Linked DNA regions of Oryzias latipes. The protein of the gene in region 1 interacts with the protein of each later gene in a biochemical or structural test. Links are inferred from orthologs where the notes say so. Each region holds a gene or a part of one and is shown in the gene's direction. Other genes may lie near its edges. The genes, in order: sirt1 and rps19bp1.

Evidence for each region.
Region 2: the proteins of sirt1 (region 1) and rps19bp1 form a complex in vitro, tested with the Homo sapiens proteins (2 studies listed by BioGRID and IntAct). The link is inferred for Oryzias latipes from reciprocal best matches to the Homo sapiens genes SIRT1 and RPS19BP1.

What each region holds. Positions count from the first base shown.
Region 1 is NC_019873.2:29,790,610-29,795,158, forward strand, and holds the start of sirt1 (NAD-dependent protein deacetylase sirtuin-1), read left to right. Parts: upstream 1-1,582; 5' UTR 1,583-1,617; coding exon 1,618-1,951; intron 1,952-2,657; coding exon 2,658-2,780; intron 2,781-2,855; coding exon 2,856-3,091; intron 3,092-3,171; coding exon 3,172-3,324; intron 3,325-4,549. Other genes in the region: dnajc12 (dnaJ homolog subfamily C member 12), read right to left, coding at 489-776. UniProt on the Homo sapiens protein: NAD-dependent protein deacetylase that links transcriptional regulation directly to intracellular energetics and participates in the coordination of several separated cellular functions such as cell cycle, response to DNA damage, metabolism, apoptosis and autophagy.
Region 2 is NC_019859.2:24,671,631-24,675,997, reverse strand, and holds the start of rps19bp1 (active regulator of SIRT1), read left to right. Parts: upstream 1-1,387; 5' UTR 1,388-1,502; coding exon 1,503-1,557; intron 1,558-2,730; coding exon 2,731-2,904; intron 2,905-3,873; coding exon 3,874-3,971; intron 3,972-4,367. UniProt on the Homo sapiens protein: Part of the small subunit (SSU) processome, first precursor of the small eukaryotic ribosomal subunit.

The sequences.
Region 1 (4,549 bases):
GATCTGATCCATAAACCATCAAGAGGACTGAAAGTTTGAGTCTTTCGTGCAGACAGACTGGAATAAATCTGATATGAGACGGAAACACCTCAGCCAGGACTTTCAGAATAAAATTAAAAATGTGGTTTTCATTTTTGCAACTGTAATCTGATTACTTTCGAGGATCTGATTACTCCCATTTCTCTGGGTTTTGAGGGCATGTAAACCAGTTTGGCAATCGGATTATCCTGTTAACATGATCACTTCAATAGTCTGACTGAATAAATCAGAGGATGATAATCAGATTTTCGGTGGTCACGTCATCGGCTTCAACCACCTGTGGTCCGGGATTCGGTTCTGACGCCACAGAGCACAGAGCGCGTGCAGCATCTCTTCGTGCGTCACGTGGTCTCTTTTCTCACGATGATCAACCTGCAGGTTGTTAATGGTCGACAAACATGTTTTCCTTTTCCTGCAGCTCGGGCAGGAATGACGTCATCAGAACTTACGGACGACAGCTCGTCGCACCCCAGCACTCCGTAAAAATCCTCCCGGTCCTCCGGTTTACTGCGCAGAAGGGAATCCATGGCTCTTCTTTTACCGGACCGGATCTCTGCGGTTCTGATCCAGGAAGGTCGATGGACCAACTCCCTCTTCCTGGGATGCCGCTGAGGTTCTTGGTTCTGGTTGGACTGGGATTCTGCTGATAAATCAGCTGAGTTTAAAAGAACCGAACAAGCTCTCACTTTCTCACCAACATGTGACGTGGGTTGCGTTCGAGGACCCTCCTTTGTCATGGGAGGAAACACTCCCGTTTTGGGTCATTCCAGTTAATACTAAACCTCAAAAAAATAAACTCAATGTGTAAGTATATATTGTAATTATAGCGTTTATATTTTGATATGTTTTCAGAATGCTGATAGAGAAGTTCTTGATTTAAATACATTTGATTCAGTTTCTGCCTTTTTATGCTGGAATTCTCCAAATCCGTCAACAGAGGAAGAAAACGCTTTAAACTAAAAAAATCTAATACTTTTTACAGCAATAAAAAATAACTTTACTGAGAATGTTTGCTTAAAAATTCAGTGTGCAACTGTTTTCGTGGTTGTGATTTAGTGTTTGATTTACCAAGTTCATAGTGAAAGTCTAATTTTAAATAAGCATAAAAACCTTTAACAAGCAGAAAACCTTAACACTCGGTTTACTTTTAATACGTTTAACGTAATATGCAATAATGGTAATAATAATGTTCATGCATGCAATTTTATATCAGAGCTTTTTTTTAAAGATGGCTTTTATTTTTATAACTAATTATTAGTTAGTGTGACGTCTGCTTTGAAAAATAACCATTGCTAGCAGATAACTTTCTGGTCACTTGTAAATTCTTTGTCTGATACTGAACTCAATCTTATTTATTAGACATATTTACTTCGATAGTTAATGCTGCTGATAATCTTTAAATGAGGTGTTTTCACCTTCGTTATTTATTTTTTCCTTATTATTATTTTTGCATATGTTTTAATGTCTTTCTTTTGTCCGACCGTTCATGAAGGCATCAGTCATTTGTTATGGTAGACGTCATCACGCGCGTTATGCAAATGAGCCAGCTGTCTGCTCGGCGGCTCCTGCGGGCTGAAGATGGCGGACGACGAGAGCAGCCACCGAGCGGCCTTCTCTGGAGCCTGCGTTGCGGACGAACCCGCCGCTAAGAGATCGAAAATCACTCCACCGGACGACCGCGTCTTCAGATCCATCGAGGCGGAGCCGTTTTCCTACGTCTCCCCGGCCACGGAGAGCCGGGAGGCGGCGGTGAATTGCGAGCAGCGGGCCGAGAGGGAGGCGAAGCCGGCGATGGCGGGGGAGCAGGCCGCAGCGGGCGGAGACAACAATGGGCTGGGACTGCTGGGATGCGAGCCGCCGAACCCAGCCGAGAGGCTGAGCTTCGGCTTTGGTTCTGCTGAGGGGAGAACGGGTGAGTACTTCTGGTTCCCTGACGAAGGGCTCCGTGTTTTCATCGCTCGGAACGGCTGGTTGTTAGCCCGACGTACCGAAGATGAAAGGAACCGGAAGCGGCAGGAAACAAACCGATGCTCGGCGAAGTTCTCGTTCCTGTTCGAGAACTTCGCCGACTTTGACCACGTGACTCGTGTTGACCTAAAAGTCCAAACTTTGGCGGAACTAAACCGTTTAACCCAACTGGAAAATAGAGGTTTAAAAATCCATCAATCGAGTTCAGTCAAAAACTGAACTCCGGGATTTAATTTAAGGTAATTTCCCGGATTTTCTTATGTAAAGATAATTAATTATGAAATAAAAGCTCCACATTTATCCAAACATTAGAAATGATGAATTTCTAATTAAAGTTATTAATCTCAATAGAATAGATTTAGGTGTCATTAATGAATCTTAAGATCCATCAGTTATTGGTTTATTTATAACATGGAAATAGAAAACAGAAATCAGGAATTTTCCTTTATATTAAAATTAAGAAATTAACCAGGAATCAATGAATTCCCTTTATATGATTGAAGTTCTATTAAGTTGAGGTGGCTCCAATCAGAGCAGCTCCTTCAGCTGCATTTTAGTCATCCTTTCCTGAAGCATGAATACGGTCCGCGTCGTGTGGCGGCAGAGGTCTCGGCGTTCGGCCTTTGACCTGCCGGTTTTGCCCTCTTCAGGCTTCCTCGGGGCTGACGATCTTCCCTCCAACGGTCTCGCCGTCACACCAGAACACCTTAACGACGACGATGACGGATCCTCTCATGCTAGTTCCAGCGACTGGACTCCGCAGCCCCAGATCGGTCAGAATGAGGCAGGAATGTATTTTCCGCGTCTCCCTGCAAAGCCGTTGTGAGCTCAGGTGTGTGCGTGTGCAGGTTCCTACAGTCTGATCCATCAGCACATCAGAGAGACGGACCCCAGGGCCATTCTGCGGGACCTGCTGCCCGAGACCATACTCCCACCCGATCTGGACGACATGACCCTGTGGCAGATCATCATCAACATCTCAGAACCTCCCAAAAGGAAGAAGAGAAAAGACGTGAACACTGTGGAGGACGTGGTCAGACTGCTTCATGAGAGCAAGAGGATCATGGTTCTGACCGGTGCAGGTGTAGGTGTTTCAGTCCCCAGAAGGGCTTTTTCTGCCTTCATGTTGGGTAAAGAAACGGTAAACACCGGTTTGCTTCGCAGGTTTCAGTTTCCTGTGGAATTCCCGACTTTCGCTCCAGAGATGGGATTTACGCTCGGCTTGCTGTCGACTTTCCCGACCTTCCCGATCCGCAGTCGATGTTCGACATCGAATACTTCCGACGAGACCCCAGACCGTTTTTCAAGTTTGCTAAGGTTGGAAGGTTTTTTTTGTCTCTTCCTTCTCTGGTCCGGCCCAAGTTTACTAAACTAAAGCCCCCAAAATGTTTGTGACATTTAAATGATTTAACTCACACTTCTGACTAAATTCAGATGAAAAACATATTTCACTATGTGTCTATGAAGCCTCTCATTCATCCAGGTAGATTCCATCATAGTAGTGGGTTTAGGGGCCGTCATCTGGACTTAAGAGATGGTTCGTTGTGAAGGTCCTTCACATTTCCAATTAAATATGATCTTTTGTGATCTCCTGTTTGACCCTGAAATGACCCAGAAGTGACCGGCATGCGCAGAAGAGTCCTCAACGGTGACCGACGTCACTGTTGTTTATGGAAGTAGCTAACGTTAGCAATGGATGTCAACAACAGTGTTGTCAACAGCAGAGCTATTTTTGCTTTATTACATTTATTTTCACAAAGGAGCCAGAATAATTACAATCTTCTCATTTTAAAAAGAAATTTAAAAAGGAGGAAAGTTTGTGGCCATGGCGTTTTTTGAAGCAGTGTTAGCCAAGTCTGTACAGAGAAACGTGTGGAGTGGTGGGATACTGATGTGAGGAGCCAGGATCGTCTGTACCCTCAGCCATTTAGCTGGAAATGTTTTCAAAAACTGCCCGGTTACGGTAAGAGCCCTGGAGTTTGGCCTGAATAGAGAAATATGAATCCAATCGGTGACCTCACTTCCCTAACACTGACTGGTCTCAGCAGCATCTTCGCCATGGTTGATGTTTATGATCTAGTTCCTGCCTACTTCAATGCAGAATGATGACGTTTGTAGCGTATCGATGACGTACGGGTCGGATTCATGTGGCCTGGCCGCTCAGACAGAGGTCGAAGAGATCGGATACGTATTCGATTCAGGACCACATACCAAACTGGCTTGGGTCGCATTCGAAAAAATCGGATCTGTGTCGTTCAGACTGTCATGAAAAGATCAGATACAGGTCGCATAGGGGCAAAAAATTGGAATTGGGTCGTTTCAGCCTGCAGGGTGAACGTAGCCTTTTAGGCCCGTACACACCGGGACGAATTTCGTGCGCGATATTTGCCGGCGTTTAACGCCTTGTGACTAAATAAAGGGCACCAATGTGAGTGTGCACACCGACGCGAAAAACGCCACGAGTAAAAGCGTCATTTTTTAAAAAACGCCTCGGGTTCGTTTTTTTGGTTTGACGCACCGCGTCAAAAACTACACGACCAAT
Region 2 (4,367 bases), on another chromosome or scaffold:
ATTATAGTAGGACAAAATAACTCGGCAAAACATGGCAAAGCACAGTAAAATAGCTAAACAACTAAACACATTATGTCAAAAACCCACACTTAAACCCAAATCCGTCCAGACAGGCAAAGGGAATTATATCCCAGAATCCCTTGCGGTGCCTATCTAACTGCAGCACCAAAGTTACACCTACTTAATTGAATTAATTTGAATGAAAGCAAAATAACTGTCTAAAAACTACGTGTTATTTTTAAGGTGACCTAAAAAAATGATTTATCTTAACTGAAGCAAATAATTAAGTTAGATCAAAGTAAAAAAGTTTTTTTTTCCAACATCCATACATGGTCTTATCATCCTTTCATGTTGGAAAAAGTATTATCTGAGCTTCTTCATCCACTAAATCCTCTTCAAATGGACACGCCATGCTGCTTCACCTCTCTGTAAACAAACTAAGCTTCAACTAAACCTGCTCCGGACCAGGTTATGTTCAGAGCATGAGTTGCCATGGTAACTTGACCTACCCTGAAACATACCTCCATTTCTGGAACCGAAAACTGAGGTTATCAACTTCCTTAGCCTCAAACTTTTTTTTTATAACTTTATTGAACAAATGCAAGTATACAACATGAAGAACAATCAATGCAGTATACAACATACAATCAATATACAACACAAACAATGTTAAACAGCCAGGGGAGTCGATTCATTAAATATTTGCAGAGAGTTACAAATTTCAATAGTTCTGAGAGCTTTTTTGTTGGAGGAAAAGGATATTGATTTAATGTAAAAAGTTACATCTTTAATGAATTGTGGGAAGTAAGGTGTTTTATTAGTAAATTTACATTTATGTATGTAGAATTTTGCCAGAAGAATTAATAAATTAATTATTAAAAATACTATTTGTTTTTTGGGGGTCCTGAAAAAACAAAGTAATACATTTTCCCATTTCAAGGAGAAATCTTTGAAGACATGAATAATGATGAATCTACTGAACTCCTTCCAAAATCTCTGTGTGGACAAACAGTGCCAGAAAAGATGAGTTACTGTTTCTGGGTGATCTCCACAGAAACTACAATCAGTATTAATATCTTTTTTAAATTTTATCATATAATGTTTGGCAGGGTAAATTTTATGGAGAATTTTAAAGGACCTTAGCCTCAAACTTACCGTGGGAGCTAGCATAATCTGCTTCCTGGAATACCCCCCTGTACTACTCATTATTTTATTTTTTATTTATGAATTGTTTTAAAAATAAAACACTTCACTTCACTTGTTTTTCTTTTGTTTTATTTTTTAAAAAACTTCACATTAAATTTTTTAATTTTATTTTATTGTTAGTTTATTATTCTAGTAGTAGTTTGGTAGGCACTATATGCAACACTGTCTGGTTTTCGGAGGACTCATTCCGGCAGTGCACACAAAGACCGGATGTTGATCTACTCACGTGTTAGAGGCAGAATATTACATTTATATACTGCAGATTTGTTAAGAACGTGATTTTTTGTTGTTGTGCAATGTCAGTGTCGTTGGTCAGAAGAGGACTGGAGCTGCTGAGTGATGACATCAAAGGTCCGGTTTGACTTTTTGCTATAGAATTTTAGTTGAGCTAGCAAACCACATTAGCACAAGCACTCAGCTGCACTAATTAATTAAATTTGCTAAATGTAATACAGATTAAATGTATTAAAAAATCTATATTAGTAGGTAGAAAGTTGGCAAAATTATTTTCACTTTGTTTTATGCTAGTCCACCTTTTAGCATTCCTTCTTAACTTCATTTTGATTCAAATAATAAAGCAAAACAAATCATGTAATATTATTTGTCTTATATACAAAGTTCTGTAACTGAATACGTGTCAAGGTTTATTTGTATGATTTTTAAAACAAAAAACTGCAGTAGCTTTTTTATAATATATTTTCTCTTATAATAAACACTTGAAGTTTATTTTACTTGAGTATAGTAAAAATATTACCACCATGTAGTTGTAGACCAAGTAAACCAACGCAAGGTTAACAATATATAGATATATAAAAAGTCAACTTCAAGTATACCGCCTGACTTTTAGTATAAACTGAGTATATTTGTTGTGCACCTAACCCCTAGATGCCTTGATGCAATAAAAAGCACCTCTGCTCCAAACTTACCTTCATTTATAGTCTACATAAAGCAGAAAAAAAAACATGAATAAATAAAACAAGAAAAGAAACCACATCTTTTTTTCATACCTGGAAATAAATTCAGACATAAATAGACTACTTTTGCTAGGGTTCTAGTTCAAAAACAATAAATAAAAACCTGAATTAACAAATGTGTTTAATTTCATTAAATCCTAAGAAGTGAAGAAATGTATCTGTACTTTTTTTTAATCTTGTGTCAATATATTTACTGTATTATGTGAATAAAAATATATAATAAGTTGTGATGTACACTTTCCCCCTAAACGTCAAAGAGCTGCCAAAATACATCCTCATAGTAAATAATGTAAAAATCAAATTCATATTTAACTTTGAGTAACAACAGGGTATTTTTGACTCTAACCTTAAATGAGATTTTGTGTCATCTTTTTTGACATGCTGGAATGTTAAAGGAAATAAACATCTTTTAAAAATGACACCATCTGCAGAGAGAACATTTATTTAATAAACAAATAAGGTAGAATTCAAATATAATTGTAATATACTGTCACCCAGCAAGCACTGTGTCTAAAGGTGTGTATTTGTGCTGTTCTCGCTTGCATTTTAGCAGATGACAGCCAGATAAAGAAAAAGAAGAAGACCCCCAGCTCGGCCGCAGTGATGGAGCAGATCAGCAGCAATAGACAGGGAGTCAGCAGGCAGGTTAAAAGACTGCAGGGCCGCCTTGGTCCTGGGAAGAGCAAAGCTACAGTCAAGGACAAGAGGATCAAATCAGCTATTGGTCAGTTAATTTTTTGTGTCTAGGAGATCAAATTTAACTTTTCCACAATTTAATTTGACCAATTCCTTATCTGACATAAAATTATGCTTCATTTCAAACTTCTTTACATTAATCACAACTCTGCCTTTGTAATATCTGCTGATTTGAACTTACATCGCCCCAGTTCCCACACTGCATCCATCACTGACCACAATCTGGTTACTTAGTTTTTGTTTTGGAATTGCCTCCTTTTCCTCAAAAGGCCCCCCACAGTACCCTAACTAGTTCAGAATTAATCATTTTCACCATATCACCCTCATCCTACTTCAGCTTCATTGACTGCAAGTTGCTCAAAGAATGCTTAAAAGTCGTTTGTGGTCTTGTGGTCCTCCACTCTTTTTCAAATCCCCTCTTCATTTCAACCTCCTCCTGCTCCTTCACCTCCATTCGCTGTGCCCTCCGTCTGCCTCAGCAGCTTGAAGAAACTCCCAAATTTCCTTCCATCCAGAACATTGATTCATTTTCTACTTTTCAATCTAAGTTTAAAAATCCACTTGTTCTTCTTGTTTGCCTTGTTCCGTCTTTCTTTTGTTTGTATTTTATGATGTACTTGTTTTTGCTCTGTTGAGGGATTTTAAGCCACTTTTAAAATGATTAGCTTTTCCCAGACCGTTTTCAAAAGCAGATGCTGCATGTAATCACATTTTTATAAATAAACTGTAAAGAGCAACATTTATTTGACATTTAAAGTTAATAGTGTAAAATTAAGCATAAGGGCATTTTATGTTTCAGGGAATTTACTTTCCTTGAAAACAAGGAGTAAAACATTCAGTAACCTGCATTAATTAAACTTTTCAATATTCAGCTATTGGCTTAAAAATGAATTAATTGCAGAAAGAAACCGCTCAATAACTGAATATGGAGTTATTGACAGTGTGATGAGAAAATAATGTTGTTGTTTCAAATGTCTTCCTCTGTGATTGCATGCAGAAGAGTTCAGGAAGAAGCAGGGAAAGAGCAACCTGAGCGCCAATCTCAAGTACTTCATGGAAACTATCAGTAAACCCACAGATTCAGATACTTTGAAGGTAAGAAAAACAAATCTGTAACAGTGTCAGAGATGGACGCTTTAATTATTGCCATTTTTTGTTACTTTTGTCTTTAAAGACCCTCTGTCTTTAAAGACGGTGTCTTTAAAGTCACCGCAGGTCAGCCGGGGCTGACCTGCGGTGACGAGGCTCCGACTGGGTGGTGGGCGGCTCCTCGGCCCTCTGTGTCCTGGCTTTGCCCACGTCTCGGTGTCAAGCGCCCGGTGGCCCCAATAGCTGTCACCCGGTGGAGCACGCCTCTCCTGTGACCTGGGGGTCCTGACGCTGGGCTCGCCTATGCCTCCTGGTGCCGCCGGGGAGGATCTGGTTCCCCTAACGATCACATGGTTCACTTTGACAGCGTGCATGTATCTCCACCCCCACGTGCACGGCACA